Linked DNA regions of Drosophila melanogaster. The gene in region 2 interacts genetically with the main gene of each other region. Each region holds a gene or a part of one and is shown on either strand. Other genes may lie near its edges. The genes, in order: Top2, tefu, Mekk1 and aurA.

The links.
Region 1: of tefu (region 2) and Top2, changing one enhances a phenotype caused by changing the other (phenotypic enhancement), as found in Drosophila melanogaster (one study listed by BioGRID).
Region 3: of tefu (region 2) and Mekk1, changing one enhances a phenotype caused by changing the other (phenotypic enhancement), as found in Drosophila melanogaster (one study listed by BioGRID).
Region 4: of tefu (region 2) and aurA, changing one suppresses a phenotype caused by changing the other (phenotypic suppression), as found in Drosophila melanogaster (one study listed by BioGRID).

What each region holds. Positions count from the first base shown.
Region 1 is NT_033779.5:19,446,188-19,456,664, forward strand, and holds Top2 (topoisomerase 2), read right to left. Parts: upstream 7,304-10,477; 5' UTR 7,064-7,303; intron 6,607-7,063; 5' UTR 6,352-6,606; intron 6,129-6,351; 5' UTR 6,099-6,128; coding exon 5,541-6,098; intron 5,484-5,540; coding exon 5,060-5,483; intron 4,994-5,059; coding exon 1,956-4,993; intron 1,875-1,955; coding exon 1,551-1,874; 3' UTR 1,178-1,550; downstream 1-1,177. Other genes in the region: RanGAP (Ran GTPase activating protein), read left to right, coding at 1-411, 489-665, 722-1,051; CG10026 (uncharacterized protein), read left to right, coding at 9,994-9,996, 10,222-10,381, 10,443-10,477. UniProt on the Drosophila melanogaster protein: Control of topological states of DNA by transient breakage and subsequent rejoining of DNA strands. Topoisomerase II makes double-strand breaks. Essential during mitosis and meiosis for proper segregation of daughter chromosomes.
Region 2 is NT_033777.3:15,236,821-15,244,033, reverse strand, and holds the start of tefu (telomere fusion), read left to right. Parts: upstream 1-1,797; 5' UTR 1,798-1,813; intron 1,814-1,871; 5' UTR 1,872-1,890; coding exon 1,891-2,091; intron 2,092-2,149; coding exon 2,150-2,258; intron 2,259-2,309; coding exon 2,310-2,495; intron 2,496-2,553; coding exon 2,554-2,774; intron 2,775-2,830; coding exon 2,831-3,175; intron 3,176-3,236; coding exon 3,237-4,340; intron 4,341-4,394; coding exon 4,395-4,572; intron 4,573-4,629; coding exon 4,630-4,799; intron 4,800-4,850; coding exon 4,851-4,977; intron 4,978-5,034; coding exon 5,035-5,402; intron 5,403-5,459; coding exon 5,460-5,601; intron 5,602-5,656; coding exon 5,657-5,777; intron 5,778-5,831; coding exon 5,832-5,964; intron 5,965-6,022; coding exon 6,023-6,316; intron 6,317-6,369; coding exon 6,370-6,643; intron 6,644-6,699; coding exon 6,700-7,076; intron 7,077-7,131; coding exon 7,132-7,213. UniProt on the Drosophila melanogaster protein: Serine/threonine-protein kinase which recognizes the substrate consensus sequence [ST]-Q. Required to suppress spontaneous apoptosis of proliferating cells during development, and for their proper differentiation. Required for female fertility.
Region 3 is NT_033777.3:18,739,389-18,746,454, forward strand, and holds the start of Mekk1 (Mekk1), read right to left. Parts: upstream 4,207-7,066; 5' UTR 3,849-4,206; coding exon 3,613-3,848; intron 709-3,612; exon of another isoform or gene 1-708. Other genes in the region: PGS1 (phosphatidylglycerophosphate synthase 1), read right to left, coding at 4,863-5,282, 5,341-6,405.
Region 4 is NT_033777.3:11,961,141-11,967,811, forward strand, and holds aurA (aurora A), read left to right. Parts: upstream 1-1,983; 5' UTR 1,984-2,151; coding exon 2,152-2,265; intron 2,266-2,329; coding exon 2,330-2,630; intron 2,631-2,692; coding exon 2,693-3,513; 3' UTR 3,514-3,686; downstream 3,687-6,671. Other genes in the region: CG3281 (uncharacterized protein), read right to left, coding at 1-1,363, 1,417-1,572; CG12213 (uncharacterized protein), read right to left, coding at 4,285-4,346, 4,405-5,599, 5,657-5,985, 6,048-6,207.

The DNA.
Region 1 (10,477 bases), on a different chromosome or scaffold from region 2:
GAAGTTATCGACTTAGGTTTTAACGAAATCAACAGCGACGGCGGCTTGGTGTTGGTGAATGCTATGGGAAACAAGCCCAAGCTACGCATCTTGAATCTAGATGGCAATAGCTTTGGAGAAGAAGGCAGCGAGAAGATAATCAGCGAGATGAGTAAGTTGCCAACTGCTGCCGCACTGCAACCGTTTCAGCACCAGGAAGAGGAGGATTTGGAAGATGAATACCAGGCTGACAAGCAGGACGCAGATTACGAAGAGGAAGAGGAAGTACACGAGCACGCCAACGATACTACCGAAGAAGCAGATGAGGATAGCGAGGGCGACGAGGACGACGAGGAAGACGAGGGAGACGAGGAGTACAGCAACGTCGCGGAGGAGACTGCCTATGTCACTACGAATGCCTACACGACCAAGGTTAGTTTATACTTCGGAGTACTGTGCAAATGGTAACAGCAATTAATCGAATTATCTTTAATTTTAAATTTTCACAGCTTTTTAACGACACAACCAACTCGATGGCCAGCGAAACTTTTGCGGTCGCGAACAAGACGATCAGCCAAAAATGCACTCCAGAGAAGTTCTGTTTGAGCCAGAAACCCTGCTCCCAGGAAGATTTCGATTCGCTAGATATGGATAACAAACTTGAGGCTTTGCAGTCGATTGTCAACGTAAGATATTCTCAATAATTAGAATGCAATTAGAGTAACGTAACATTTTTGTACAGCAATTCACCGGCGACAACCATTTGCTACTGCTCGTCTTCACCACCTTGAAGTGCGCGCATTTGTCGCAATCCTCGAAAGCTGCGTTGGATCTGGCCGTCTCCTTGTACCAGGCCACCTTTGACTATGCCATCAAGACAAAGCAGGAGACACGTGTACTCAACTATGTACTGATGCAGCTCCGTTTGTTGCCCTGCAAGGAGGTATTCCATTCGGACTACGATGTCAAGAACTGTCGATTTGCTCTTCGCGAGGCTCTCAAGCAACCAACGTTTGCCAACGACAACATTAAGAATTCCTTTAAGACTTTCCTGGAGGGTGCGGAGTCGTAAAGAGAATTAGAGAAGAGATTACCTTTATTTCCCACTTTCCGATTTGTGTAGCTTTCGCGAATAAAAACGTATTATTCCTAACCCGTAGTGGTGTTTTTTTTTTACCCAAAAAACCAATCGAAATTTAATGTATTAGCCATTCGGCAAAAGTGATTTATTTACATGAAGAAAACTCGTATGAGACTACAAACTATCTTTATGGAACATGTTAATACATCGATATTACGTTTGTAAATTCCTCTTGGTGGCTTTCTTGCTGCTCTGGAACAGAATCAGCTACAGTGAACGAATGTAGCGAAGTGTTTATCTATAGTTAATAAAAACACGAATTATAAAACATTGACGTTAACATCGAGGAGAACATTGAAAGATTATAAAATAACGAACGATCGTGGCGAGCAAGTCCGCAAAAAAAAGTGCCTCCTCGAGATTCTCGATGCGGATAATGCTGATTCTAAGAGTCCATCTTCTATCAATATCCTGTGTGGAAATGTGTTCCTTAACAATTAAAATCAGAATCATCATCATCATCTTCATCAATCTCGATATCATCATCATCGCTTTCAATTACAGCTCGCCTCTTCTTGGGCGGAGCTTTCTTTTTGGCTCCTCCACTGCTCTCATCCTCTCGTCCACGCTTAGCTGGACGCTTGGGCGAATCATCATCGCTGGCATTGCCATCATCATCAGAGCCAACGTTGCCACCGTCTTCCTCCTCATCCGAGAAGAGCGAGCTGTAGTCTATCTTCTTACTGGCCTGTCGACGTCCAGGACGCTCTGCACGAGGAGTTACTTCCTCCACGTCATCGTCGCTCTTTTTCGCCTAAAGATGAAAAATATTAATTGACAATTAAATACAGATTTGGGTTTAAAAACAAATATGGGCAATTACTGAAACACTTACCTTGGCCTTGCTGAAGTCAATCTTGCTCTGCTTGAGCCCGCCGCCGTTCTCCTTCTTTTGGCGCGGCTTTTTTTCTCCCGGCTCCTTCTTGACAACCGCCTTCTTGGCCTTGGGTGAGGTCTTAGAGCCGCCCTCGACCATTGCATCAAATTCGTCCACCTCATCGCCGCTGGCATCAGGTTCGGCTTTAATCTGCTTGCCCTTCGGTTCCTTCTTCACTTTTGGCTCCTTGGGCTCTTTGGGTTTCTTCGGCTCCTTAGCCGCCTGAGCTACCTTGGCAGCCGCTGCCATTTTCTTAATGATTTCTTCGGTGATCTTAAACTCGACGGGTTCTCCATCGGGATCTGGGAATACGTCTCCGGCACCCGCTCCGCCTCCCATTGACTTAACCTTTCTGCCCTTAGCTGAGGCCGACTTCTGGCCCTTCAAAGCCTTCGCGGTCTTGAGATTGATCCCCTGCTCTTCTGCGCGCTCCTTCTCCTCTACTTCATTTAACTTCGATTCGAGGGCATCCAAATCATCCAGCCAAAGCATCTCCGGCGTCTTCTTGCGCAGACTTTCCAACTCGGACAGTTTAGTGTCGCGCTGTTTGAGTAGCTCGTTTTTCTTCTCCTCTGTCAACATCCACATGGACATACCCAGAAGGTAGTCAAACTTTTTGACATCAGTTAGTTTCTTAAAGGCCTTTTCCGGATCGACTTCCTTTTCCTTCTTAGCCTTTGAGCTGACACTGGGAGCTGCCTCCTCTTCTTCTTCGTCCTCTTCGTCAGCTTGCTCGGCATCCTCCATTTTAATGCGGCGCTGCCACTCCTTGACGGGATCGGGACGATATCCACGCTTCAACAACTCATCACACATGGCCTTGCGCTGCTTGTTCTCCACCACCAGCTTCTTCTCACACTTTTCGAGAATAAAGCGCGCCTGATCACTGAGGCGATCAGCCTGCGCCGTGAGCTGGCCGACCAAAAAGTCCCTCCGGCGGGCGTAGTACTCTCGTCGCAGTTTGTAATACTCTTTAAGGATATCGATCGCGGTGGGGAAGCGTCGCAGACAGTTGTTCTGGTCGAACGCATGCATCTGGTTGGTGGACAGCGTCGTGGTAAGTTTGAACACTCGGTAGAAACCACCTTCTTCTGCATGAATGCGCTCAAATTCTCCAGGTGCGAAACTGATCACAAAGCGAACGGTGGTGTCTGTATGATACTCCCTGTACTCGGAAATAATACCCTTAACCTTTTCGGTGCCGTTTGATAAAGGCTCCAGGACATTTTCCTTGTAGTTTTGCGTCCATACGCCCACAGGGAGTTCACTGATTTCTAAACGGTTTCCGGACAAAATTTGAATGTTACCAGTCTGAATATAACGACCATCCGAAACATACTCCATGCGTCCTAAAAAGTTCTTGTACCACGGATGCATCACACTTGGCTCTTGTCCGTTTATCATCTTCCTTAGATTTTTCATAATCTCACGAGGATTGTAGTTGGATATCTTCGTGGACCATCCAGTTCCTATGCCCTCGGCTCCGTTTACCAATACCATCGGTATGATGGGCAGATACCATAGTGGCTCGATCTTTTGGCCATCGTCCACCTGGTAATCCAAAAGTGGATCGTCCAAAGGATGGTAGATGAGTCGCGTCAAGGGAGACATTATAGTGAAAATGTAACGAGCGCTGGCGCAATCTTTGCCTCCCGACAAGCGGGTACCAAATTGACCGCGTGGCTCAAGCAGATTAATGTTGTTGGCACCCACAAAATTCTGAGCCAGATTCACGATTGTCATCTGTAGGGATACCTCTCCGTGGTGATAGGCTGACATCTCCGCCACTGATCCGGATAGCTGGGCCACCTTCACCTCACGCTTGTCATTCCTCTTGAAGCAAGTGAACATCACCTTCCGCTGACCCGGCTTCAAGCCATCCACCAGACTAGGAATGGAGCGCTCATTGTCAGCATTCGAGAACAGCACCAACTCCAGATTGATAAAGTCTGCATAGGTGATGCTCTTGGTGCCCTTGGTGTAGAGATATCGCTCTGGCAAACCGAGCTCCTTGCGACGCTTCACCTCGTCCATGTGGTTGGTAAGCCATACCTTTCGCGACTCGATGTGCTTCTTGGAGAAGGCCATAACAATGCTCTCATCATCCACCGATCCATCGTACTTAAATAAGATGCGATGGCGATCCATGTCTTGAAAATACTCTTTCGCCTCCTTGGAGGTCGAAGTACCCAAACCCTTATAGTACTTTATATTGTACGTATGGTGATTAGCTGTATCATTTTTCCACTCCTCGAATTCGGGTAGCGAGTAGAATGACAGCTCCTCGTTTTTCTTGGTTGCCTTCACAATTGGTGTAATGAACTCCTCGAGGAAGGGCAGACGCAGAAGCTCTGGCCAATTGGTGTGGATAAAGTTGATCAAGAGACCCTTGATGTGGGAGCCATCCTGATCCTGATCTGTCATGATCATCACTTTGCCATAGCGCAGAGTTTTTAGATCGTCCTCAGTGAGGTACTTCTTTTTGTATTGCAAGCCAATTATCTTGCATAAATTGTTGATTTCGGCATTCTCCGAAAGCTGCTTGAAATTAGCTTCCCGCACATTTAGAAGTTTACCCCTAAGCGGGAACACGCCGTAGAGATCTCGTCCGATCACGCCCAAACCGGATACGGCCAATGACTTGGCTGAGTCTCCCTCGGTGAGGATGAGGGTGCATTTAATCGAGTTCTTTCCACCCGCCTCGTTAGCGTCCTCCAGCTTGGGAATGCCCTTGATCTTGCTTGACTTGCGACCGCCCGTCTTGGCAATGTCATTTTGGGCCTTGAACTTGGCCCATGCCAGCACAGACTCCACGATGCCAGACTTGGACATGTTGTTGATGAACTTTTCCGAGAGGGTACACTTGGAACCGAAGCCCTTTTGTTGCAGAGTCATGTTCTCCTTGGTCTGCGAGTCGAAAGTGGGGTTCTCTATCAAGCAGTTGACAAAAACCCACAGATGGTTTCGGACCTGGAATGGCTTGATGTTGATGCCACCTGGAAGAGGTTCAAAGCAAATATTAGTTGTTGTTTAAGAAAATACACATTTTAAGTTAAACGTACCTTTGTTCTTTTTCTTCAGAACCTCGAGCAGCTGCTTAATGAGATTGTCTACCACATGGTCCACATGCCGACCGCCCTTGTAGGTAGCTATCGAGTTGACAAACGAGACCTGTTGGAAGCCTCGATCTGAAGGACAGCAAGCCACCTCCCAACGCTCGTTGGCAACCTCGTGGACTATCTTGATCGGTGGGCCAGAATCGTCGTCCGTGTTCTTGATGTGCAAATCAATATAGTCCTTGAAGTTGCGTACACCCAGTTTGTTGCCGTTTAAGAAGACGGATACTCCCTTGGATGAGGCGGCCACATCGTAGGCGCGACGCGACATTAGAGCCACAATATCTTCATCGAGACGGTCCATCTTGAACTTGGCCAGATCGGGACTGAATGTGATGCGTGTGTAGTCAGTGCCATTGAAGTCCTTGATCTGTGGGTTTACTGAACATTAGATGATGGTCTAAAATAAGAAATGTTATTTCCTTACCTGCACATCGGAGGCTTTTCCCATGTTGTTTCCCCAAGTCTGCTTGAAACTTTTCTTGTATTCCCTCGTGGCAGTCTCAACGGTGAAGCTGGTGGAGAATATGTTGCAGAGCTTCGCTCCGTATCCGTTCCTGCCGCCAGTGACCTTCTTCTCATCGTCGTTGTAGTTCGACGAGGTCAGCAGATGACCAAAGATCATCGTTGGAACGTACATCTTCTGCTCCTTGTGCATGGTCACCGGAATGCCCTGGCCGTTGTTCCACACGGACACCATATTGCGCTCCGGATCGATGTCGATCTTAATGGTGTTCATGCTCTTGTCTCGCTGCTTGTTATCTGCCGCATTCACAAGAATCTCGTCGAATATCTTGTAGAGGCCGGGCACGAAAGAGATCTCCTTCTGCACCATGCGGTTTTGGGAGTTGTCATACACCCACATCAGCTCCTTGGTGAACTCCACGGATCCGATGTACGAGTCGGGTCGCAGCAGGATGTGCTCCAGCTGCGACTTCTTCTGGTACATCTGTTCGATGGACAGGGCCTTGTTTCCGTTCTCCATGATGCTTCTGTCGCTGTGCTTTAGCTGAATCTTCAAAGAGTAAGCAAAAGGCATTTGTTAATGTAATATTAATATTAATAACTAATATTCCGAGCCATTGCCTTAGCTACTATTAATCACTCGTCCTGCGTTCTACTAAGTAAAAAAAAAACCAAAGCTACTAGCAGAAGACTACAGTACCCACCCAGTTAACAGTTGCTATTAGTATATTAGTAATATTATGTTCACGTTTTTTTTTTAATTGTTATAATACCAAATAAGATAGATGGCACCCAATATGTTTAATGGCCTCTTAATAACGGGGATGGTTGTGCGTTGGCATGTGATGCCAATGCTGCTGATGCTGCTGTTCAACAATTTTTTATTAATGAATGCGCACTGTACCCACGGTGAAAAAAAAAAACAAAACGCGCGCCCGCGCATTGCGTAAATGCCGTCCAGACAAACGCTGCAATGGAATGGGACTTGGCCAACATGGGAAATGGTTGGGTACGTCAAACAGAAATAACTGCAGATAAATTGAAAAACGTCAAACTAAGTATTATTTTGCCTGGTGCTACTGTACTGGGAACAGATTTTCAGCACACTTTGAAATACATAACAGCCCTGTCTCTTTGGCGGCAACGCTTGGCGTGCGCCGTCTGTTGCGTGAGTGTGCGTGTTTATTGGCGTTTGCCGGTAGTCACCGCTATTTATTATTTCTTATTAAGGTTCTTCGAGGGGTTTCACTTTATAGTAAACAAATTCAGGCCTACATACGCGCTCCGCGCTACAAAATCAAAAAACTATGGTTTTTAAAGGCCCAAAATTAGCTAAATGTCTATACCGGTATCGCCATTTTTAATTTGCAAGCGACGCCACCGAAAAATTGCTATATCCATCATATTAAAGGATTAATTAGACAGGGCTCTTAGGTTCTACGGTACAGCCAATTCTACGATTATGATTCAGCACTTTCTGCTTACCTGGTTAAAAAATTGCCAAGTATTTGTGGCCTTTTCTTGCTGCCGCCGACAACCGAAGTGCGGCAAAACTCTATGTTGCAGGCGATACACGAGGCGGTGCACTACAATTTTCGACTTGTACGTGCCCCACGCGTCTGCTGCCTTTAGCTAAAACTTGTACAGTTCTCAACTAACTATTAAAATACGCACAGCACATTTAACAACTTTTCACAACCGACAACAAATGAGAAGTATTGCTGGTTTTAGAGCTGGCAAGGCGCACAAATCGATGTTTGAATGAAATCGCTATCGATAAGTCCCATAACAGTGTTGTTTGGGTTGGTGCATACGCTCATTGTGAACAGGGCTAAACTAGTAACTGCGGTCGGTGACTCCGCTAAAAGCGTGATCGCCAAAATCACGGTTTTTTAGTTCTATCTCAATCACGTGATGAGTTAAGCAACAGTTAATTCTAAAAAATTCGAAGGTAATAAATAATAATAACATTTTTGGGGTTAAATTCTTTTTCGAGTCGAAAGTAGGGGTTTTAATTATTCCAACTAACATTTCTTCTATTTTTTACATTATAAATCGGCATTGAAATAAATGTAAAAAAGATAAAATATTTCGATCTAAATGCAAATTATCAAAAATTTAAGACAAAGTAAAACCATTAAGAAATTTATCCTTTCATATGCTTAGTATTGTATCCCACATCAATGTGATATACAGCAATTACTTAAAATGAAATGAAATGAAAAATTGCTGCTAAAGTTGCATTTGTGCAATTAAATTTCGCACCGTTGAAGTGAAGATTGCTTTTCAATTAACCACCTGGTAATATGAATATTCCAAAGCCAAGACCATGGCTACAAGAGAACTGGTTTTCTTTCTGCCATTTTGCCTGACCTTGCCCAACACGACGTCATAAAGGGGCATGTCCCTCCCCATCCCGTTGCGATTTTCATTCCGGCTCAGAAACATGTTTTGAATAGTGCAAACAAAATATAAAGATTCTGGATTCATCCGAGTTACTCGGAATTTCTGCTTGGGTAATGGAGAACCCTTCACGCAGTGACGTCACCGGAGCTCATTGAACTTGCACAGCATCGAATATCGTCCAGAAATATTCTCTACTCCTCCAAATCTGTTGATTCTCGTTTGACAAGCATCAGCAAAGATCTCTCAATATGCGGAGTGCAGTTTGTACCCTGCCAAATTGGGAATTTCAGCTGATGCATGGGAAAATTGTGAACTAGCGGAGTTAAGTGCAGTTTATTCCAGGATACTATTAGCAAGTTGAACAAGATGTGAGCTAAAACTCCTAAGATTTGGTAAGATAAAAAGATAAACATAAGTACTACAATTAGCAATTAGTTTCTTTTTTTTTTTTTTGAATAAATTGTATGTATATGTATTGTTAATCAACAAATTTTACTTAATTGCGTTTTTAAGGGTGTTTGCATCGTCGTTTCATCGAGCTGGCTCTCCCTATTTTCAGATGCTGGTTTCTCGTTCTCGCATACTGGTTTATAGTCATAAGTGCTGCGCTTTTTCTCGACTTTTTCCATTGAGACTTGTGTTCATAAAATCTTCTGTTCTAAGCGATCCCCAGCTCAGTTTCATTCCAAGCTTCTGCGATGCCACTTGTGTGCGATCTTCGTTAAGTCGGATTCCCCGTACTGCAAGCTGGAAAAAATAGAAACCGTGACCAGAAACAGTAACCGCCACTCGGATTGGATTATTACCTGGTAATGAAAGTGAAGACCCCGAGCTAATGGGGCGATTTAAACAGGTGTTTAAAGGTGCAGGTGGGGCTGTGAAATAATCGCTTATTATCAAACACCCTAATGGGGGGCACTATTATTGTGATTATCTTGGGATTATCAAATCCATGTAGACAATTAACGACAACAATGGCGAGTTCATTAACACTTGAACCGAACTACGAGTATGTATGTGCTGGGACTTAAGCACTGCAATCAGGCGTACTTAAAAGTGCATAATGTGTAATTAGTTGGAATTTGTTGAATATGATTAAATATTGACCCAGGCACTTTGCACGGCCACCACGTGTGAAATTTGTGTGTGCTGCACTTTGAGATCGCGGTGGCATCATCTCACAGTATCTGCCAAATACGCGTCGAACTCACACAACGCTGCACCGCACAGACCCCAAGCGACCCGATTAGCCATTGGCGAACTGGGAACGCGGCGGATAATGCCTTATCAGGCAGTGGCTCCTCTACAATCGCGGGGTTCACTGGGGGCAAGTTTGGGTCTGGCTCTGCGTTTTGGGGTGTAGGGATAGGAATTGGGAAATCCGGCCAAGGCCAGGTCGAGGTACACCTAACAAGAGCACATATTTTGGGGCTGATGCTGAACACTATGCAATTCCAAGATTAAGCTAGCAATGTAACAATCGGTACTAACCCCCAATTAGTATATATTTATATTATATATATATATATTATTATATTATATTAATATATTTTAAATGATTTTAAAAATTTTAATGATTTCATTTTGCATACATTGTTTTGAAAGTGTACCTACCTAATGTATTGATTGCTGGAAACAACCAACCCAAAGGCAATGTTTCTAAAAACTAAGTGCAGCCAAAACTGAGTAATTGCACAACACTTTACTTATACTATATTGTTTATAATTCTTGTGGATTCCCGCTCCATCAATTAAGTACAGCAGATTCACTAAATTTAGCTCGAGCTCAGTGACACACTGTTATCACTCATCGGCTGTCTCCTTCGCGCTATCGCAATGTTCATTGTTGTTCGGTTTCTAGTTAATATTTAATGGTCGCATACACACTCGTACATGTTTAGCGACAAGTAAAACAGCATTTCGCCTGGGACTGTCACCACTTGGCCCGATTCTGGTTCCGATCGGGGGCTCAGTTTCACACTTGGAGTCGAGCGGATCACAGCCCATAAATGGTAACAACGAGAAATTCATCCAGCAGTGACATGCCAAATCTCTCTGAAATTTAAATGTCAATACGGGTGGCGAAATGTTGCTAACAACGAAACAATCGGGAACAGTCATATTGCGCTATTCTCAACTGGATTTATTTTTATTTACATTTTGCGCGAGTGAAAAGCGCTTATCAATGCACCACCCCCTTATGGCCACATTGTATCTATAGTTTGGGCTTTTTTTAGACGACCAGCAGTGGATGCCGCACCATGCCCACCATCGAGCACAAGCTAAACATCACCGAGGAGGAGGTTCCGGAGCACATCCGCCGACTTGCCCAGGAGCAGGGAGAGTGTCCCAGTTCCAAGGATAAGGTCATCGAACAATTCCGTAACTACATACTAGGTTGGTTATAGTCCGTTGTCTAAGAGGTACAAAGGTATTCATCTGAACAAAACCTCTCCAGAACATAATGAATGCCAACCACACAGAAGTGATGCG
Region 2 (7,213 bases):
TAGTGAAAACGCCATATTATTTCGCCTTTTTCAGCGAGCATTTCGTTTTCATTGTGCCATTTATGCCGCATGTTTATCTAAAACGGCTTGCCAAAATCGGCGAATCACGAACGGTGACTAATGCCAACCGATTCATGAAAATGGCAAGATCAATGCTGGATCGATGAGAATTATAAATGGCGACCGAGCAGCTGCCACCTTTTTCTGCAAAGTGCGCAAAAAAGAGAAGAAACCGCATGGACAAAGGCGAAAATTCTGGAATGCTAAAAACGCAAACACACGCGCCCTCACAAGCACACACACACATGCATATACTTAAATATATGTAAACCACGCTGCTGAAGCCAGGTCATTTTGGAGGGTGATTCGTATGTGCGAGCGAGGGAGACAACCACTGTGTCCGGGACGGCTTTGCGTGTGTTGGTTTTACCCGCTCACAAACACACGTGCCCGCACTTTGAATGCCGGTTGGCAACGTGTTTTTTTTTAGCTAAGTATATTTAATAAAAGGCCGCATAATGTATAAATTTATGAATGTTAGTTCTATTTATAAACAATGTTTATATGCCTTGACTGTATGTAAGGGAATCCAACATGTTTCTATAGCAGTATAGCATTAAAATTAAATGATCAGACATGCACGCATTTTTGTGTGGTTGTGTGGGGGGGGGGGAAGCCTCACATTTTTCCCAAGCTGGAATATTCCAGCAAAAGAGCAATGGCACTCAAAATAAATTACCAATTACGATGAGTAACTTGGACATTGATTTATTGGAAACAGAAACAATAAAAATCACAAGCAATGTCAAGACCCCGCAACGGATGACGCAAGTTTTCTCTCACACATACTCACTCAACCGAAAGTAGACTGTGACTGCAGTGAGTGGGAAGCGGCACGTTTTCCAGTGGAATATTCCAGATAATCACAATCAAGCATTAGGCATCAATATGCAATTAGTCAGAACTTCCAAAGTTTCTAGAATCTTAATTTGCCTAATTAATAGGCGCTCTATGATGCACCTTTGCAATTATGTATGTAAGTGTGCATCGAAGCGTTACTCACTGGGGTCGAAAGTTCGAGAAACCTTGCCTTCTTTGAGAGTATTGATTAAATAGTAAAGGGGCTACAAAAAACACGTGGTTTGATTTCAAATTATTTTCCGGCAAACTTAATCGAGGTGGTCGCACTTTTTTTAACAACGAAATAAATACTAAAATGTAAATAAACGCTTACCTTGTGTGTTGTTTCTTAGAAAGTACTAAAATATAACCGTTTAATTGCTACTTCACTTTTAATCTGCCGCACCTTCGATCAAACTGGCTGGCGTTTTTTTCTGAATTACACCCGTACAAAATTTGCGAATGCCTTTTATATACAAGCAAAAGTGTTACCAAAGCCATCAACAATTTTAGTACTAAATTCCCAGGGGTGTAACCGCAAAATTCTTGGCCACCCTAATAAGCGCTTCACACAGAAGTCCAGAAATGTTGACGCAGAACGTTCACACCGAAACTGTAAAGTCGTAGAAATTGGCTAATATGTAGTAGAAGCGCTGAACGTAGCTTGTTACTTTAAAAACCACATTTCCTATTCCTTTCTTAATGAATATAATTCATAATATAGGAATAATTAATGAAGGAACAGTGGAATATGGAACATGGGATTTTTTTATTTATAAATCTTTCGTTATATAAGGTTATTCTAGTTCTCCATCGGCACTTATTTGACGCACACGGCTGCCCAGCCATTTAACAACAGTGCTGTTCTTATTGATCGTGGTATTTTTTGGCGCTCTGGCAGAGGTCACTCTAAGTACATTTTGAGAGATCATTTTATGTTTAGTTTAATAATTAATACAACATTACAACAGGTTATGCCGGGCAGCCAGGATGAGTGCACTTCTAAACGAAATCCAGCGGATACTCGGGGACCTTCAGTCGGGGAAGGCAGCCAGCCGAAACAAGGGCATCCAACAGCTGGATGAAAAGCTCTCAAGTTGCCGAGAGGATCTGGATAAGTTGTTTCTTAGCAAAACTTCGGATATATCCTGGACCACAATCTTTGAAGCGTCGAAGGAGGCTCTCTTTAAGGTTCCTAGCCATTATCGTTAAACAATCAGTTCCATTTTAATTGTTAACCTAATGATAGCAAGCTGGAAATCTGGAGGATGTCAACGAGAAAGTATTCAAAACGCTGGCGGGAAAAAACTACTTGTACGATAATGTCCTCGAGAAGATCACACAATTCAACTTGGAAGGTAACTCCTAAACACTTAAACACGTTATTAAAGCTAACCTGTGATTTCCAGCGGGGTCGCAGACCTCCGGAAATGGGCATTTCCTGGCCAAAACAAGCATATTTAGTGCATTCGAGGATGGCATCAAGATGCGAGTGGTAGTCAAGTATTTTGGCGACCGCATTCTGAGCCTGCTGGAAAAGGGCATTTACTCATCGGTCAGCTATGTGCGCGACCTTAAAATTAACGAATACAGTAGTAAGTTACTTTCTGGCCCAAAAGAGACTCTTTTTTTTAATTTGATGATGTATTACAGGGATTCTCTCCTATCTTTTTGAACTGAATGTCGATATGGACGAGGTCTTGCGAACCAGAATACTGAAATGCATCACAAGAACCGTCAGTTTGGCCAAGGACCGGGTTCAGCTGCACGTGGATCTAGTGGAATATCTGCCGGAGCTCAGCAGCTTTGCGCTCTCCGCTTTTGGAGCCAGAAAAACTGAGATTGTTCGCGTCTACTTAATATTTGCATCAGAGGTAGGACTCTTATTATATCTTTAGATAATGTTAAAAACTTTGCAACAATCTTTCAGCTTGCTGTCAACTACAATCACCAATTGAACGTGCACATGCAGGAGATTCTACCTAAACTATGCGAGTATCATGACGAGGATGCGTTCCGGGACGACACCAGAAATCTGTTCTTTCAGTGCGTTTCAAAGTCGCTCCATTCAATGTATCTCAAAATGGATATGTGTGACTTTAATACACTCGGTGTGCCTGTTCATGAAAAGTGGCCGCAAACTTTACTGCGGCTGAAAACTATTGTCAATGTGGAGATCCGAAAGAATTCCTGGGCTCGCTGCAAGAACGCACTACTGAGCAATAATAAATTTTCTGACCCCTTCATCAAGATGTCTGCCCTGGCTATGTATATAGTACGTCGCATAAGCTAGTAATATTTAATATATTTAATTTTAATTATATTATTATTTGCAGGTGCTTTGGCACTTGGAGACGAAAAAGGCTGATGAAAATGGGGAAGGCGATGCGCCGAAAAAGATCCCGAAGCCTGCAGATAAAATGGAAACTATATTTAGTCTGATCGACAAAAAGGAAAACACCTTTAACGACGTCTGGCTTGCGATATTCACTGAGATACTTCAGCTGAGTAGCGTGATCCTAAATGTGGCCAACTACCAAATGGCGCTAACCACCGTGGCGGAAATAATGCAAATGTACGGCAATGCGAAAAATCTCCGGAACCTTCGGTTATGCCTGGCTCATCTTTTGACTAAAGAACAGGAGCTTTTGCACTCTAAATCTATTCGGGAGGATTTTCTGGGTGAGCTTTGGAGTCAAATGGCAAACCAGCTCATATCAGAGACAACAACAAACAGTGAGGAGATCAAGGAGAAGCAATTGGTGCTGCAGATGCTGATCAGACACAATAAACTAAATCAAAAGTTGTCCAGCACGCTGCTTAACAATATTATCTCGAATGAAATGCTAAAGCGCAACGAATGCTTAGCGACGATTCGAGAGATCTTCATCCATGCTGATAAATGTGGTCAAGATAAGGCGTCCGCTGACTTAGAACCCATCATAGCTTGGGCATACGGAAGTGCGGATAGATTCATCGCCGCTCAGATGATACACAATATAGACAGTATTGATGCCCAGTTGCAGGCGGATACTTTTGCAATCAGCATTATAAATTTTTTGGATGTCCAGCAATTGCGACAGATCTCTCAATCAGAACACATTGTTCCTTCCACCGAACGCAATCTTTTGGCCTACAAGTACAACGAACAGCTTATTTGCTTTGACAAGGACTACGCCACTCCTTTTGAGTCAATCACTCACATTCAGAGCGAAACAAAGAATTGTTTGATTCAATCCAATTATGATTGCCTAATGCGAGGCCTTAACTTTGAGATCGCGAAGGAGAACAAACCGGCGGCAATAATAAAAAACCTGAATAGTCTATTAAAGTTGATCTGCACAATGGAAAGGCTTTTGCATTACAAGGTTTTCGATGCAGATACCTATACTGGCTGTCCACTTATAAAAAGAATTGGACTATATCTCAGCCACATTGAGGTGGGTGCCAAATGAATAATCTTTCAAAAACTCGTTTTCTAATACCCATTTCAGTTCCAGCTCAAGGCGAACGGAGCTGAGATTTTAGATAAGAGCGATTTACCAGAGATTTTACGTCTGGAAATCTATGTACTTGATGTATTCAGGACGAATTTAGTCTTACTCGATTATTTGGAAAGGCAACCCATTGAAATGTTGGTGGAATTTGTTGGCGCTGCTCTCAAGTTGCATTGTAATGTAGTTTTCAATTAACGTATCGCTTTAATAATTGAAGAGTGGAATATTTTAGCCATGCAGAGGGAGCGATCTGTAGATGCAGATCATGGAACAATAACGCGTCTGTGCCTTAATATTTTGGCTGGTCTTTGTGCGTACAATTCGCACCGGGATGAAGCATTCGAGCACATAGTAAAGGTAACGATGCGTTGGCATCCACAGGATGTGCTTATTGTGACCAAGGTAGGAGTTATATCGTAACCAAAACAGAAATAATTTTGAAATCTCTTTAAGATGTTATGCAGCTGCCAAACGATTTCTGAAGCATCCAGCTCTTGGTTAGTGAGCAAATTGAAGACGCTTTTCCAGCAGCATCATCAGGATGCGGAATTGATGGACAAAGTGGTTCAACATATGCCCAGTGAGCTTATATATAATAGAACAATAAACACAGTGCAATCAATTCATTTCATTGCAGCCATTTTTTACTTCGTAAGGCACAAAGAAAATCATTTGGACGACATGCTTATGGCCCTTAATTCCCTTTTAAGGATTGCCATTAAGAAGTCGTACACATCGAATTTAACAGCGAAAATTGTACGCTGCGTGGGATTGATTGCTCAGCGTTGTCCGGACATTTACCTTCTAGAGAACTTTGCTGTGATATGCAAGTCCACTGCGAAATTCATCACCATGCCCACGTTAGAAGTGCGCTTTGCCACACTCTTCACATTCACCATCCTGCTGGAATCGAATTGCGTCACTAGCGATGCCATTGGTCATTCTCGGACGCACTGGGACTTCTGCCAGGAGCTGTACGAGAGCATTGAGTTTAAGAAACTGACGGTAAGCATTCGGAAGTCTGGATGCCTAGCTATACTTTAATGGCTATTTCTTATTTAGTACAACAACGAGGATGCCATTCAAAACAGCAATGCGTTAATCGTACAAATGTTAATTGCAATATTCTTGCGCAGCTCATTCCACCAAGAGATAGCACTGAAGGAGCTGCTGCATCATTGTGCCTTGCGAAGGCTAACTGAAAGTGAGTAAGCACCGTAGTAGCAGTTTCAGTTACAAGATCCATGATCCAATTCCAGGGGAGTTTATTTCCCTGCAGAGTATGTCATCCTGCCATCGGCAAACAGTGCGTGATCTTATCAGACCATTTGCGGCCATTCTTCTTCATCATTGGAGCTCCAAGCGCTGGCCCATTTCCAAGTGAGATTAACTAACCAATCCCAAGAAAGTTACACTCACATCTCACAAATCAAGGTTTCCCTATTTTCTGTGCTATTCAACGAAGAGTGAATTCCGCAAAACACACGCCAGTGAAATTATGGCATATACCTTTCTATATGGCAAAACAGAGGATATAGAACGGTGCAGTAAATCCATCAGCGAGGAGGTAAGTACGGTAGAAGTTTTCTTTAAAAAATATATAAATTGCAAGATTTATTCTTTAGCTGGCCCTTCCGATACTGGCTTCATTTCTACTGATCAAAAACAGCTCGTGCAGCGAAAGCGAAGGTCAGAACTTTAAAGAACACCTCCAGCTATTGTCGGAGAATCTCAGTTACTCTCAGCTGAATGCCACAGATGTTGATCTTGATTTGGATATTCTTTGCTATGTGATAAGCATGCTGCACGATCCGCAGGAAATGATGAGATTGTTTGGTTCCCTTGCGATCTGCAACAGAACAGCCAGTTGGTATAGTCTGAGTGGAGAATCGCTTTTTAAGTGTCTGAACTTTCACATTGTACGTATTTGGAAAGACATTACAAATATGTCGCCTAACTCTTGTTTGTTTAGGACCCTGAAATGAGGCCATCGATGGACAGTCGGATCCAGTCCATGACCACGCTTCAAACCAAACATTCCCGTGTGCTGGTCGATATTTTTGGACGCTTAAAGACCAACTGTTATTCGGCCTCTTTTTCTAGTCAGGCCTTGCATGACTTTTTCCTCTACTGTGAAGTTGCAGATGCTGTCTATGATGCAGCCAGAAAAAATGAAACCATAGTTACCCAGTGCTCCTTCTTTGTTCGTGATATTTGGTTTTTTGTGGTGCGACTTCTAATCCATAGTAAGTGAAAAATATACAGAGTAACTTACGCATTACCTAACGCTACCCGATTTCAGCAAAGTTCATCCGCGTCCAAATGGCTGCTCTGACATTTTTGGAACTTTTGCTTAACAAACACAACTTCCGATTGGATGATTACCAAAATCACTTCGGAGACATAGCTAAGCTATTGAGCAATTTTCAACTATGCTGCGAAGCGAAAGAAGTTAGAGAGAAGACCATGTCGATAGTAATGTACATTTTGGAATCAAAAAAGGGCCACATTAACCTGAATTCCTTTTTGGAAGAGACAACGGACTGCGAGTTTCTTAAACCTCTGCGAGAGGATTGCAAGTCCAGTCAACCCAATATTGATAGGGCGGATGTCGCCAATTATTTGCGCTCATTTCTGTTAAGTCCGACGCCAGAAAGATTACGCGATCTGAGGACATATGTGAGTAATAAGTTAATATTCTAAAAAAACTTAAAAATATGTATCTTTTTTAAAGATTGCCGAGCACAAGGACAAAGTGCAAGAACATGAAAAACTTTTGTTTGGGGTTATTAACAAGCTCATTCAGATGACACGGG
Region 3 (7,066 bases), 3.5 Mb from region 2:
CGAGACGAGAGAGAACCTTGGAGAGTGCAATCCTCTTTTTTACTCTCAACTGGCTGGTTGATAATGCCGCTGTTTTAAACTTTGCTTAATCGCCGCAATCGAGGGCTAGTGTTACTTTCAGAGTCTCCGGTGGGTGCCCGAGCCAGATTTATGCACATCTAATTGCACCGCACCATACACCACTACAACCCACTCTGGGGACAAAAAACAAACAGCGGCGGAACGATCTGAGAGCAAATAAAAAGCGACAGCTCACAATTAAAAGCTGGTAGAGCTGGAGAGAACTTTAGACGCGAGCCAGCGAACGATGACTGGACTGGCCTGGGGGCTGGATGACCGATCCGCGGTATGCGACTGCCGATTCCCTTCTCGGATCGATGGAATCTTTACTGGTGGGGTGGGTTATGGGTTATGCACTATCTCCCACCGTAGTAGTGTGTAGTTTTCTGGCTGGTTTTCTGGTTTATCACGACGAATTGCAAACAGGCGGCAGTAGTTCGCACGCCTCGCACCGAACCCTTTCGAATTTCATAACGCGCAGCACTTGTCGCGGCAGCCAGTCAGTCAATTTATTAGCACTTTTAACAAGAATATTCCCCATCTATTCGCCAATGCGTACAGTATACGGTTTTGTATGTAGCGCAAGCGAGTGTGTGCCGCGGTGCCGACGAAGCGGTGTCGCCCCCAAACCGACTGCTATTCACTGCCAATCGCGGCGAACTGAAAAGAGCGAGCGACGACCGCCCGACCGACGCATCCGATTGTTTACGGCCCTCAGCGGAGAGCAACTAGTGGGTGGCCACTTCAAATCGGGGATGCCGGTTTAGCTATTAAATAGTTATGTTTAACATTTACCAGTGGTCATTTCAGTCAGAAACTACTGGAGTGTGGCACAGAAAGTGTAAAAGTATGCATAACATATTAAATATAAATTGTGAAGCCTACGGTTTACAATAAATACAATACCTGCCACTATAAACTATAGCCATTTGTGTATGGTATCTCAGAGAGAGGAGACGCAATAAGATGAGCAACAGAGGTATGGAAACTAAGAGCACAAGAAAGAGAGACACACCACCGTGATACGGTTTGTTGTGGAACGCAAAGGGGTATTCGATCGTTTCTGGAGCGCATTGCGTTTGTTTGTGGTTCGCAATTGTCTTAGCCGCGAGAATATTTATTATTAATTTATGGCATTTTATTATGTACCCGCTTGTTGGCTAATAAGCAATGTGTTTACTTAAGCTTTTGAGTGTAGGTATTTTTCTACAAACGGTCAGAATATGAAAATCGATTCAAATCAAGTCAATCAACTTCATTGGCTCTATATGAAAATCTTTGGTCACGTGACCAGCGGTGCGTATACTTCATATTTATAGATACACATAAAAGTTGCACATTCGCACCGTGGTCCCCATTTATGTATGAAGCATTGGAAATTCGATGACTAAGCGATCAATTTATCAGATCGACTGATAGGACGAGTTCGTCCAAAACAAAGTGAGTTGTAATAAGAAACAGACAATCAGACACCCAATCAAGATTATTAAATGTAAACAAATGTTAATATGCAACCATAGTTTTTAGTTTTATCTTTCAATGCTTCTTAAAGTAAAGTAAAAAGTTAAAAATGTAAAATAGTAATCAAATGGATTTTGAGAGGTTTTCAATTTTTAAATAAATGGAAATAACAAATCATACACAATCTGTGAATCTCATGTTTATGCTGTTTTCTTCTGTAAACATGGCATTTAAAAACACATTAGAAACTTCTAAAATTAGTGCAAACGGCAGTGGCACGTGTGTGTGTGGGCGCGTGCGTGTGTAATATGCGGAAATGTTTTCTGATATGTGTGTACAATTATGCTTATCAAACATACGAAAGCCCCAAAATTATAACCAACTGAACTGAGGTCTAGAACGTGGAGCAAAAGAGAGAGAGAGAGAAAGATAACCTGCAAGTTCAAGTACAAATACGAATGTTGCAAGAGCGCGAGCTCCCGCTCTCTTCACCAAAGCCAACAACAGTTAGGCCAGAGACCTTCAATCATCGGAATTCCATTCAGTTAGCCAGGTGACAACCACAAAACATTATGGACGGAGATATGAGAAGAAAGCGAATTCGATTTGAAAACAGAATAACGAAAGAGGTTACAAAGCAGAGTGGGCAAACGCACGTATTAAACGCGTTTTAACTTCCAATAGTCTCCCCTCCGTCTCTTCTTCTTCTTCCCTCCCCCCTAAAACAGGTATACCAGCTGAAGAAGAACAAGATTGGCGGCATCAAATGAGAACAATGCTTACAGATGTCCGAACTACCGATTACCCTATAAATGCTGTTTAAACCTTTAAAGTCAAAAACTTTTTCGTAACCTTTCCTAAAGAATCACTGCTTGTATCTTAGCATATACGATGCTTTAATAAAAAAAAAAACATATGTAATATTATATCTATACGTTGCCATTTTTCCAGCGAACCAATCAACTTATCAATTAACAGGTATTAAAATATAGAGACCAACGAAAAAAAGAGCGAGCAGCAGACACATAAATCTCGGCTAATTTCACTTAGTTGCCATAGAAACAGGTGCCAAAAGAAAATGGATGTTTGTCGCAAATTTCCTGCTAACATACGACAATCATGTTTTCCCGCAAAACGATGAACACTCACCTATCCCATAAAAATCAAATCAAAAAAATGAAGTGTATTATGAATAAGCCCCTGCGCATAAGACACAAAAAAAAAAAACAGCGGAAAACGTATCCGTAATTCTCTCAAGGTGAGCGTGTGTATGTGTTATCAGTCCACCGTCAGCGTTATCAGCAAATATCTTGGAAGACTTGAGGCGGCCCCACACAAAAATATGACTATGATAAATGCCGAAATACTACGAAAAACGACGCAGAGCGAATATAACATGCATTATAAAGAAACTTAGTTTTTGTAATGTAATACCTAGCAATTATTGCTTTTTTATTTGAACACATTAAAATCAGTTTAAAATATTTATGAAGGGTGCTCTCTTGTAAGTGAGAAAACTTGTTGATCACTGAAAACAATCGTTACTGTTACATAAAGGAGCGTTTAGACTTCAAGATTTGGTTTCAATCTCAATCTACTAAAATTTCCACAAAAATTTCTAAATATATTACGTGTTCGACGAGTATGCGTTACACAAATGTGATCCAATTTTTGCAGTGCACCTGTGCAGAATTTTAATTGCGCTGCACACAAAGTGTTTAATTTCAGGCAGAATTCGCAATTTGTTGCTGTTCATTTTTTGTGCCTGTCTTGCAGTTCGCTAAATTCTGGGGTTCGTTGAGCCACCCAGGCCAACAACAAGATAACGTGGTCAAAAAACACGTTGTTTACGTTTAAACAATTAAAACTGGTGAAATGCACAGCGAGAGAGAAGAAATGCGAGAGCGAATGAGAGGGAAACCCCGCAAATATGGCTTTGAGAGCAGAGCCGCGACAGAGATATGTTAAAAGAGGGGGAGAGGAAATGGGAAAGAGAGCGCTTGTTAGTTACGTGCCAATGCAGACTTTCTTGTTTCTGTTTGTGTTGGGAAAAGCCCAGCAATTCGAAAACCGCTGGTGTGCTCTGCTCACCTTGCAACATCCTCCTCGACGCTCTGCTCGCGTCGTAATCGTATGGGCGGAATGGGCGGGATGGGTGGTGTGGGTGGCGTTTCAGCTGTAACGGTACTATGATGCCCATTGCCATTCTCCTCCTCCCTTGCCACCTGCTCCTCTGCATTTGTTGTTGCTGCCGGTGTCTTTTGCAAACGCAAACTCTGCTGCAGCGCCAGATAATCAATTGTTCGCACTCTTCGCCTGTTTGACATTTTTGCAAAACTCTGTTTTTTCTGCTTTTGTTATATTCTTGGAATTTGCTGCTCACACGCACACATGCTCAGCCAGCCGCCAGTGCACAAACACTATCGCAATCCAGCACCAACACACACTTGCACTTTAGTAAGCACGCGCCGCGTTTTTATTTTTCTTTTTGTTTTGCCTTTGGCGATAATCAGATTTATTTTAATTTAACTTTCACGGCGAGCAAACACATAACGTTTAACGCGCTCCCGAACTTGGCACGCAGGTAAGCACTTTGTCGTACGTCTTACCGGGCCAAAAAAAGCAGCTAACTAAAGTCTTCGAGCCACTCAAGTCGCCCGGCGTTTTTGAAGAGTGAAAAAAGAGAGAGCTTTAGAGGTGGCAAAGAAGCGATAATCAAACTGGGACTTTTCGTTCAACAATTGGTTAAAAGCTTAAACTTAGCAGAGTATTTCGAAGAGTTAAATTTTTGCTTAGACTTTGCTCTTAAATTTCTTTTAACAAAATTGGTAAACACATTGAGGACATCTGAAAATAATAATTAAACAAATTGCAACTTTTTTCAACAAAGTTCGAAATACATTCTTGAAAATAGCTAAAAACATTGGTCTATCCGATTATTTCTGCCTCTCCAAAGCGGTAAACCATCGTTAGGCGTCCATCACTATTCACAGATGGGCGGGATATTTAATTTTGAACGCATGATTATTATCAGCACCAAAAATTATTAAAACTAAATGAAAGTACATATAGATAGTACAAATATTTATAACATATGCACTTGATTCTAAAATGATGATCCCCCTGGTGATTAGAACACAGCGTGGTATTTTTCCTTCTGCATGCCCTCGATTCTCTTTATTATTTAACAAACTTTAGCGTGTGTACAAAATCAACAATTACCAGCAATAGAAACACTTGCCCAGGGCAAAGATTAAACACGAATTATAAAACTAAATTAACTACCTGGGATATGGGGCTTAACAAAGAACGAAAAAAATTAAACTACTATATCGAAGAGCCTAGAAGAAATTCCTGAATATGCGAACGACGGCCTGGACCCATCGCGGAACGGGTCGTTGGACGATTTCCCGCTCCGCCGTCTGTGACAGATCGTACAGCCGGTCAGCTTCCGCCTGCAGCCGCTGGCTTAGATCCTTATTAGCCGTCACAAGGCACACCTGTGTCTCCAGATCGCGGTTCACCGATCGCTCGCCAAAGTTCGAAGAGCCGATCAGCGTGAGGTTTGGCAGTATTGCCTCTGGCAGGTAGTACCACAGTCCTTTAGCATGGTACGTCCAGCCGGGCTTTTCGTACTCGAAGAAGTTAACGCGGTGGTTTTGCTTCCGGCGGACCAGGCTCTCGTAGAAACTCTTGGCTATCAGTGTGTAGGCAGCCGGAATTCCGCCCGCTGGTCCTTTGGCACCCTGAAAGCCGTTTGCCTGGAAAATGAATTAAATCGGGTTACTATTGGTCAACTAATTACTGATAGCCACTCACATTTGGATGAGCCATCAGTATGCTGCATTGGGCCAGGCACTTGTGCGTGAGCGTGTCCATGTACTCCTGCGTCAGGTTGAAGTACCCGGTGGCCAGTTTCAGCCGTGATCCAGACAAGCAGTTGGAGAGCAGCCGCTTGGTCACCACGCTGTCGTGATGAATGCCGATCTGGCCCATCTCAAGCAGCGGAAAAATCCATGTGTCTGCCTGCGGATTCTGCTCTTTAGTTCGCGCCTGCCGCTGAAACGTCTCCTGCACTAAATCGGAAATACGTTTACGGGCAAGCTGGATAAACTGCTCCTTGGTGCCCTCGTACGGCAGTATTCGCCAGTTGCGGTGCAGTCCCTCGCTGGCATCTGGCGCCACTGCCAAACTAAACTCTTGAACGCGTTCGATGAACTGCGCATAGAAATCCGCCAACGGTTTGTCCTCAATGAGTATGTATCGATCCTGCCGGTTGGTGAAGTAGTCATTGGACAGATTGGCGCCTGATATGATCACGGCATCGTCGAACAGGTAGACCTTCATGTGCTGTAGTCCGAGAAGCTCATTCCACCGTGGCGGTGCTAGTCGCTTTGTCATCCCGCGCAGATCAGGCGTATGGTACAGGGATAGCTGCACCTGGCTCGCAAAGTCGCGGACCAGGGGTAGCAACATGGTCTTGGAGTTGAGGGTTCCCCGCGTGCCGCGTGTAAAGTCCAACAGCACGTTGAGCCTCAGGGCAGACTGTTGCTCCAGGCTGTGACGCAACGTCTGAACCATTGCGTTCTCCAGTTGCCCAGTGCCCAGGTACAAACTGGCCAGCACTATACGGCGTTTGGCCTGACCGATTCGTTGCACCAGCGTTTCGTAGAAGTGCTTTGGCTCGTGGATGACCTGAATTTGATCGCCTCGCAGCGGGAAGCACGGCGCTAGGTTGTGTAACCAACTTAGGCTCTCCAGTGCGGGTGCTCCAGGGAATCCGGTGGCCAGGACACTGGGCGCCTGCTGCAAGCAGCCCAGAAAATCGCCCTGAGCAGCCGGAGAGAGCTCCTGGCTGAAAAGGCGGCGAAGGTATGGCATCATCTTGGCGGGGATTTCTCTGACGGATTGGCAAGCGGATCCTCACTCTGGGCGGCTGCTATTTGATGACAGGGTATGGCGCATTGCTCACTGTCTGTTTGGCTGTATCCGGAACACACTTTCATTCATGGAGTGCTGTTTTATCACAAAAAAAACTTCGAATTTCAGCACGTAAATAAATTCCAGGTGGAACGCAAGTGTTGCAAAGCGAGCTGGGATTCGATAACAATTTATAGCTATCGGGAATTATCGACTGTTCATAATGGTGATGGTGATATGGTGATCCTGCTATGTGTTTCTTAAAAAAAAATAATATTTAAATCAAATTAATAAAAGCCTAACCATTTATCAATAGTTACTAACTGTTACATTTTTAACATTTTTGTGTATATCTACTTTTATATATATGCATAAAGAAATATTTGAATAAATTTACTTGAAATATTCAACCGGTATCTTACTAATATGCATTTCTTTTTGGTAATATTTAATTTTAGTTTAAAAAATCGTTTAATTTTAAACTGCAATAACATCGATGTTGTCAAATTTCTAGAAACATCGATAATACTAAGAATCGAATTAGTTTCACCTCTAGTTCAGGTCATAGAAAATAGACGCGCTGTTTTAAATGTGTGTTTGAAATAAAAATTGTGCAATAAACAAG
Region 4 (6,671 bases), 3.3 Mb from region 2:
TCAGGAGAGCTCCACTTTTGAATTTCTGTTCGCAGACACCGCATTTGTAGCACATAGCCGGGACATCCGGTTTGGGGAGATTTTCCAGTCTCTGTTGCAATTGGTTTTCGGGAATGCGTTGCAGGCGCATACGCTCTATATCCTCCGAACGGCGCTGGTTGACCCTAGCATTTACATAAGGATCAGCAGCAAAATTTGCCTCTACTTCATTGCCCGGAATCACAGCAATCAGATGTCCCTTTCGGTTACGATGGATATTCAGGTGCGAACCGCACACAAAGCTCTCGCCGCACACTCCACACTGATATGGTCGCTCGCCCGTGTGGCGCCGCATATGGATCTTAAGGTCGTTGGACTGCACAAAGCTCTTGCTGCACATTTTGCAGGAGTACGGCCTTTGACCCGTGTGCAATCGCATGTGTCGCGCCAGCTTGTTCTGCGAAATAAACTTCTTGGAGCAGATCTTGCACTCACTGGGACGCTCGCCGGTGTGCTGACGCATGTGAAGACTAAGATCTTGGCTGCGCGGAAAGGCCTTCTCGCATTGATCGCACTTGTACGGATTATCGCCCGTATGTCGCCGAATGTGGATGGTAAGGCTAGATACGGGAAAGCTCAGGCCACAGTGCGGACAGTCTCGCCGCTTAGCTATGCGTTTTCGGGCGGAATTGTCCGTCGTTTCTTCGGGTTCCAATGCGATTGCGTCGGGATGGAATGCCTGCATGTGTCGCCGGAGTGTGTCCTGACGCTTGAATGTCCGCGGACAGTGCTCACAGGTTAGCAGACCGGTGCCGCAGCTCTCGTTGGCCAGCTTCATGGCGGCCACGTCCGCTGTCAGTTTGTGGGCTTGGGAAAAATGACGAGTCAGAGATTCACTTTTGGCAAAGACACGCGGACAGACGGCGCACTTGTAGATGAAGTTCGCCGAATGGTTCAAACGACTGCCCAGCTGGGAAGGTCGCGACAATTCTCTGTTTTCTATTTCATCTGGCCGAGGCTTCAGCTGAAAGGAGTCTTCAGGCTCATCATCACGATCCTCGCTCGCATAGAGTGGCTCTTCGCCCACATCTGAAGTAAAAGCTGAACAGTCTTGGTCTCCATACTTCTCCTCCATTTCCACGTGCTGTTCGGCAAAAGACGTGGACAGGTATTGTGCCATACTGACCACATCGTCTTGGTCTATAAGCTCCACGACATCCACATGAACTTCATCCGGCTTGGCAGCAACTTCCTGTTGCTCGAAGAGATTCTGTAAAGTTTCATGGGCGTTTTCCACTTCGACGATGAACTCATAGGCGCCGATCAGCCGGCGGGCGCAATTTTGACACAGATGCATAGGCAGATTTGGGTCCGTCCATGTCCACTGGAAATAATTGAACTTATTTTTCGAAGTTTCTTGAAATTGTAGCTCTTTACCTTCAATTTGGAAACTGCCTCCAACAACTGCCAGAGCTCCAACTTAAGGTCGTTGTATTTGATTTCATCGTGGACATACAGATTGGTCTCGTGCGTCTCCAGGCAGACGCGGCAAGTCTGCGAGCTTATATTTACGTGGATCTCCGGTGTGTCCATGATTCGGCATCATATCATAAACGACGAATTCCAATAAAAACTTTGCTTGTTAATAACACCTGATGTTCAGAGATGCCCGATAAAATCACAGCTGTTCTGGTTCACAGTCACCAGAAATAAAAAATATTGGAATTGAGATGTACACAATTAACGATATTTATAAATATCTTCCGATAGTCTATCGTCCGGTTAATCAAAATAAAGTGCGACGAATTAACATATTTTCAAAATTAAGACGCTTTGATAGATGTATTTGTATAGAGATAGAAATTAAGGTTAAAATAACATAAATGCCAAAGTTTAGAGCACTATTCAATAATTCTCTTGATTTCAAATTGAAATAATACACAATATAACATTTTCTAACACTACAAAGTCACGATATTCTTCAACCAACCGATAGTATCGCACACTTGCCATTCGCCTCATCACGCACACGCCCGCTTCACAATTCAAACGAACGGCATTTTATTTTCACAGGATCCCGGGAGTCGTGAATGTTTTACCCAATATCGGCTTTCATTGTTAACTGACCAAAATTGTAATCTGTTCTGTTAGTTGTCGAGTGCCTGTGCCGTCATGTCCCATCCGTCTGACCATGTGCTGCGTCCCAAGGAAAATGCTCCGCACAGAATGCCAGAAAAATCAGCTGCAGTGCACAATATGCAAAAGAACTTGCTATTGGGAAAGAAGGTACGTTAAGTGGTAAATCTCTGGAGTGCAGCTGAAACTCTTATTTGGTACCATTGTGATACAGCCCAACAGCGAGAATATGGCTCCAGCTAGCAAACCCTTGCCAGGATCCTCTGGCGCTTTGATCAGGAAGCCAGGCCTAGGAGGCTCCAATTCCATAGCTTCCTCCGAAGGAAACAACTTCCAAAAACCCATGGTGCCGTCCGTGAAGAAGACCACATCAGAGTTTGCTGCTCCGGCTCCAGTAGCACCTATCAAGAAGCCTGAGTCACTTTCCAAGCAGAAACCCACTGCTGCGAGCTCTGAATCCTCCAAGGAACTGGGTGCGGCCAGCAGCTCCGCTGAAAAAGAGAAAACCAAGACTGGTGGGTTAATGGTTCAGCTGTAATCTTTTGCAATTACCAAACTCAATTGTAATTTTCTGCAGAAACCCAGCCCCAGAAGCCGAAGAAGACCTGGGAGCTCAACAACTTTGATATTGGTCGCCTGCTGGGACGGGGCAAGTTTGGCAACGTTTATTTGGCGCGGGAAAAGGAATCCCAGTTCGTGGTGGCCCTAAAAGTGCTCTTTAAGCGCCAGATTGGCGAGTCCAATGTGGAGCACCAGGTGCGTCGTGAGATCGAGATACAATCGCACCTACGTCATCCGCATATCCTGCGTCTGTATGCCTACTTTCACGACGACGTGCGCATATATCTGATCTTGGAGTATGCGCCACAAGGAACGCTTTTCAACGCCTTGCAGGCACAGCCGATGAAACGTTTCGATGAACGCCAGTCGGCCACCTATATTCAGGCGTTGTGCTCGGCGCTGCTCTATCTGCATGAGCGGGACATCATACACAGGGACATCAAGCCGGAGAACTTGCTGCTCGGGCACAAGGGCGTCCTGAAGATCGCCGACTTCGGTTGGTCCGTGCACGAGCCGAACTCCATGCGCATGACACTGTGCGGCACTGTCGACTACTTGCCACCCGAAATGGTTCAGGGCAAGCCGCACACGAAAAACGTGGATCTATGGAGCCTGGGTGTGCTCTGCTTTGAGCTGCTAGTGGGCCACGCTCCCTTCTACTCGAAGAACTATGACGAGACCTACAAGAAGATTCTCAAGGTGGACTACAAACTGCCGGAGCACATTTCCAAGGCAGCATCCCATCTCATTTCCAAGCTGCTGGTCCTTAATCCGCAGCACCGCCTACCGCTGGATCAGGTGATGGTGCATCCTTGGATCCTGGCGCACACGCAGTGAACACATTCTTGTTTAATTTTCAGTTAATTCCTTTTAATTACATTTTTAGTTTAGGGCTCCCCGCGTAATTTAATTATGGCATCATAAATTTTCATTTATATAGATACGAGAAATTAACATTTATCAATTAAGTTTATTATTATCATTAGCAATAAAGTTTGTGTGTGTTTTCGAATGCTAGCGTACACTCCTATCTTATGTAGCTACCTAATCTCTAGCGAAATGGGTTGACGGAATTGCAAATGCAGAAGTGAAACGTGTAGGCAGCGACAAAAAAAACAGGCAACATTGCCCAAATGCAGCGCAGCGTTTATTTTTATCACAGAAAACCAAGTATATAGAGTATATTTGTTAATGAAACTTGTAAGGATTTAGCAACGATTTCGATTACTGCTAATTCGGGACTAATAATTTGCAAGGCAGAACTGAAACAGTCTTCATTTTAAATCTGTCTGCATTTGTTCGTAGCTCCATCTCAGAGTATTGTATTTCCTGCGAGTTTTAATTTCTTGTTCTTCATTTGCTATTAACGAAATGATGGTAGTCATGACGTTGAACTTAACTTACAAACTAAATAGCTTAGGGCGTGCTCAAGCCAGGATAGATTTTGATTTATAATCTTCAATTAACGTACAAATTTCAATGATCGATTTGCGACATTTCGTTATGATTAACCCTAGAATCTATGGCTTACCGAGCACGGCTTTAATATAAAGGGGTTTCTAAGCCTTTGCACACTTGCCGCTCAATATTAATAGAAAATTATCTTACTTAGTGTCTAATAACCTCGCCTCCCTTCTTGCGTGCTGCACCACCATTGGAATAGTCGTCCTCTGCAATTTAAGTTAAAGTGTTAAGCATTTATTCCGATTTGTGAGCACTTCCACTCACCATCTTGATCTTCATCCATGCCGTCTTCCAGGTGGATGCCTTCGGCGAACTCCTTACCCTGGTCAGCAACGATTTCGTTGTTTAGATTGTCTGTATCGAGCAAATGCTGTGGCTGTTTCACGGCCACATCACCCACATCGTCGTCGTCATCTCCGTCGCCACCTCCTCCGGCACCGGCTGCCTCGGCCATCTGTTTGGCCGTTTCATCGGGAACGGGTCCGGGACCAGGTGCCGGCAATTCGCCATCGAAGAAATTCTGGCCGCCACCAGCGGCGGGCAAATTAAAGCTAGGCTCGTTTAACGCATCCTTAACTTCGTGAGCGCCCGAATCCTCGATGGGTTTGGGAGCTACGCCTACATTTTTGTTGCCCTCCATATCATTTACTGCGTTGGCGTAACGATTGTTGTTCTCGTTCTTCGGCAGGTCTTCGGCGGCGTTGTCTACATCGACAGCGTCGCCCTTAGTATCCGCTTTGTCTTCAAAGTTCTCGGGAATGGGAGCCACGTTTTCGGGAAGTTTGCGCTCAGTCTTCGCTGGTGGCACTGCAAGCGGGGGAAGGCCGCTGCTACTAACTTTTGGGGCTACAGATGCGTTGGGGGCATCACCGGCTTTCTTGTCCGAAGCGCTGCCCACTGAGGCTTGGGTGCTGCTCTTGCGGGGTGCACTTAACGGGGAAACAGGACCGCCGGATAGTTGCGGCTCCTCCTGCTGTTGCTTCTCACTGACCGATTTGGGCACAATCTGAAAGTTTTCAACAGAGTTTAGTATGAGGCTGTGGTTGTTGGACACGGCAAAAGGCTGCAGAGGCAGTTGCGGCTGCTCTTGGGTTCCGTCACCGTTACTCTTAAGTGTGAAGTTAGTAGACGCGTTTGTTAGGTTTTGTTTTGGGTTAGTTGCTAGCAGATTTACCCCGCCGCCAATCCTGTAGAGGCCTTCACTCACTTGCACTTGGGCATCGAAGGACTTCTCGTTGCGGGGCTTTTCAATGCTGTGCGCTAGCTGGGCAGGATTTGAGTGGTGCGTGGTGGGCATCTGCTCGGCGGGCTTATTCAGTTGCTGCTGGTGTCCCTGGACCGGTGCCTCGGCGGGCTGGACTTTAGGTACATAGTTGCAGTTGGTCTTGAATTCCGCAATTGTGGCTTCCAGGGCGTGAATCTTGTGCTCACCATCGCGCTGTAGCTTGTCCAGCTTTTCCTGGAGCATAAGTAGATATGGTGAAGAAATTTACTTGGATGTATTAGAAAAGCATACCTTCCAGGCAGCCACCTCGCGCTCCTTGCTGGCCTTGTCCTTATGAAGATCCGCCAGGACCTTTTGCAGCTTTTGGTCGAAAGCGTTCGTGTCCTCGATGTGTTTCTTCTTGCTCTTGACGAACTCGGCCTCCAGGTTGGTGTACTTAATCTCCAGCAGCTTGTACTTTTCCACCTGAGCGTCGAACTTCTCCTGCAGTGCGTGTTCCGTGTCGTGCTGCTTCTGCAGTGCCTCCGCCAACTGACCCTCGTACTGCTCCTGCAGGGTCATCTTTTCCGAGCGCAGCGCGCTCATTCTCTTCTCGGCGGTAAGTTTTTCGGCATTCAGGGCTGTGGATATCACCATAATCAGTCGGCATATGGACAAAACAAGATAGAAACAATAGACCCACATTGCATCTGGACACTGAGGCCCTCTTGGAAGGCGCGGCTCTCGTCCAATTGGTGTTGGGACATTTGGTAGATAACAATCATCATGATGAGCACGATGAACATGCTCATCAGGATGCAGATACGGACGCGCCCTGAGCGCGCGAAGCGAGCCGAACTCATTTTACACTCGATTTAAGCTAGTAAATCAACAAATTGCAACTATTTCCTTTGCAGAAAAAGAATGGTTTTTCTTCTTGTTTTGCTTTAGAGCTGGTACGATGGTATCGTCGTAACGATAGTAGCGATTGCCTATCGATGAATTTAGTTGTATTATTTTTTTATACTTTATTTTTATCCCCTTTGAAATTTTAAAAGGTTCTGAATTATGAATGTTCGCAGTTCTTTGCAATAATATAATTGTTGAATTCCTTTTTTTTATTTAATTTTTAAGGCTTGCTATGTTTTTAACAAGGCAAGCTCAAGGTGCCGGTGTGACCAGCTTGGCACCAGGCGATAGCCAATTTGAGCCGTAGATATATTTCAAAGGTGTCGAAACGGTCACTCCGCTGACCAGAATCGACGGCGACGCGCGAAGAGAATATCAATAAATATTTTTAATTTAGCTTAATTAGCCGCAAATAAGT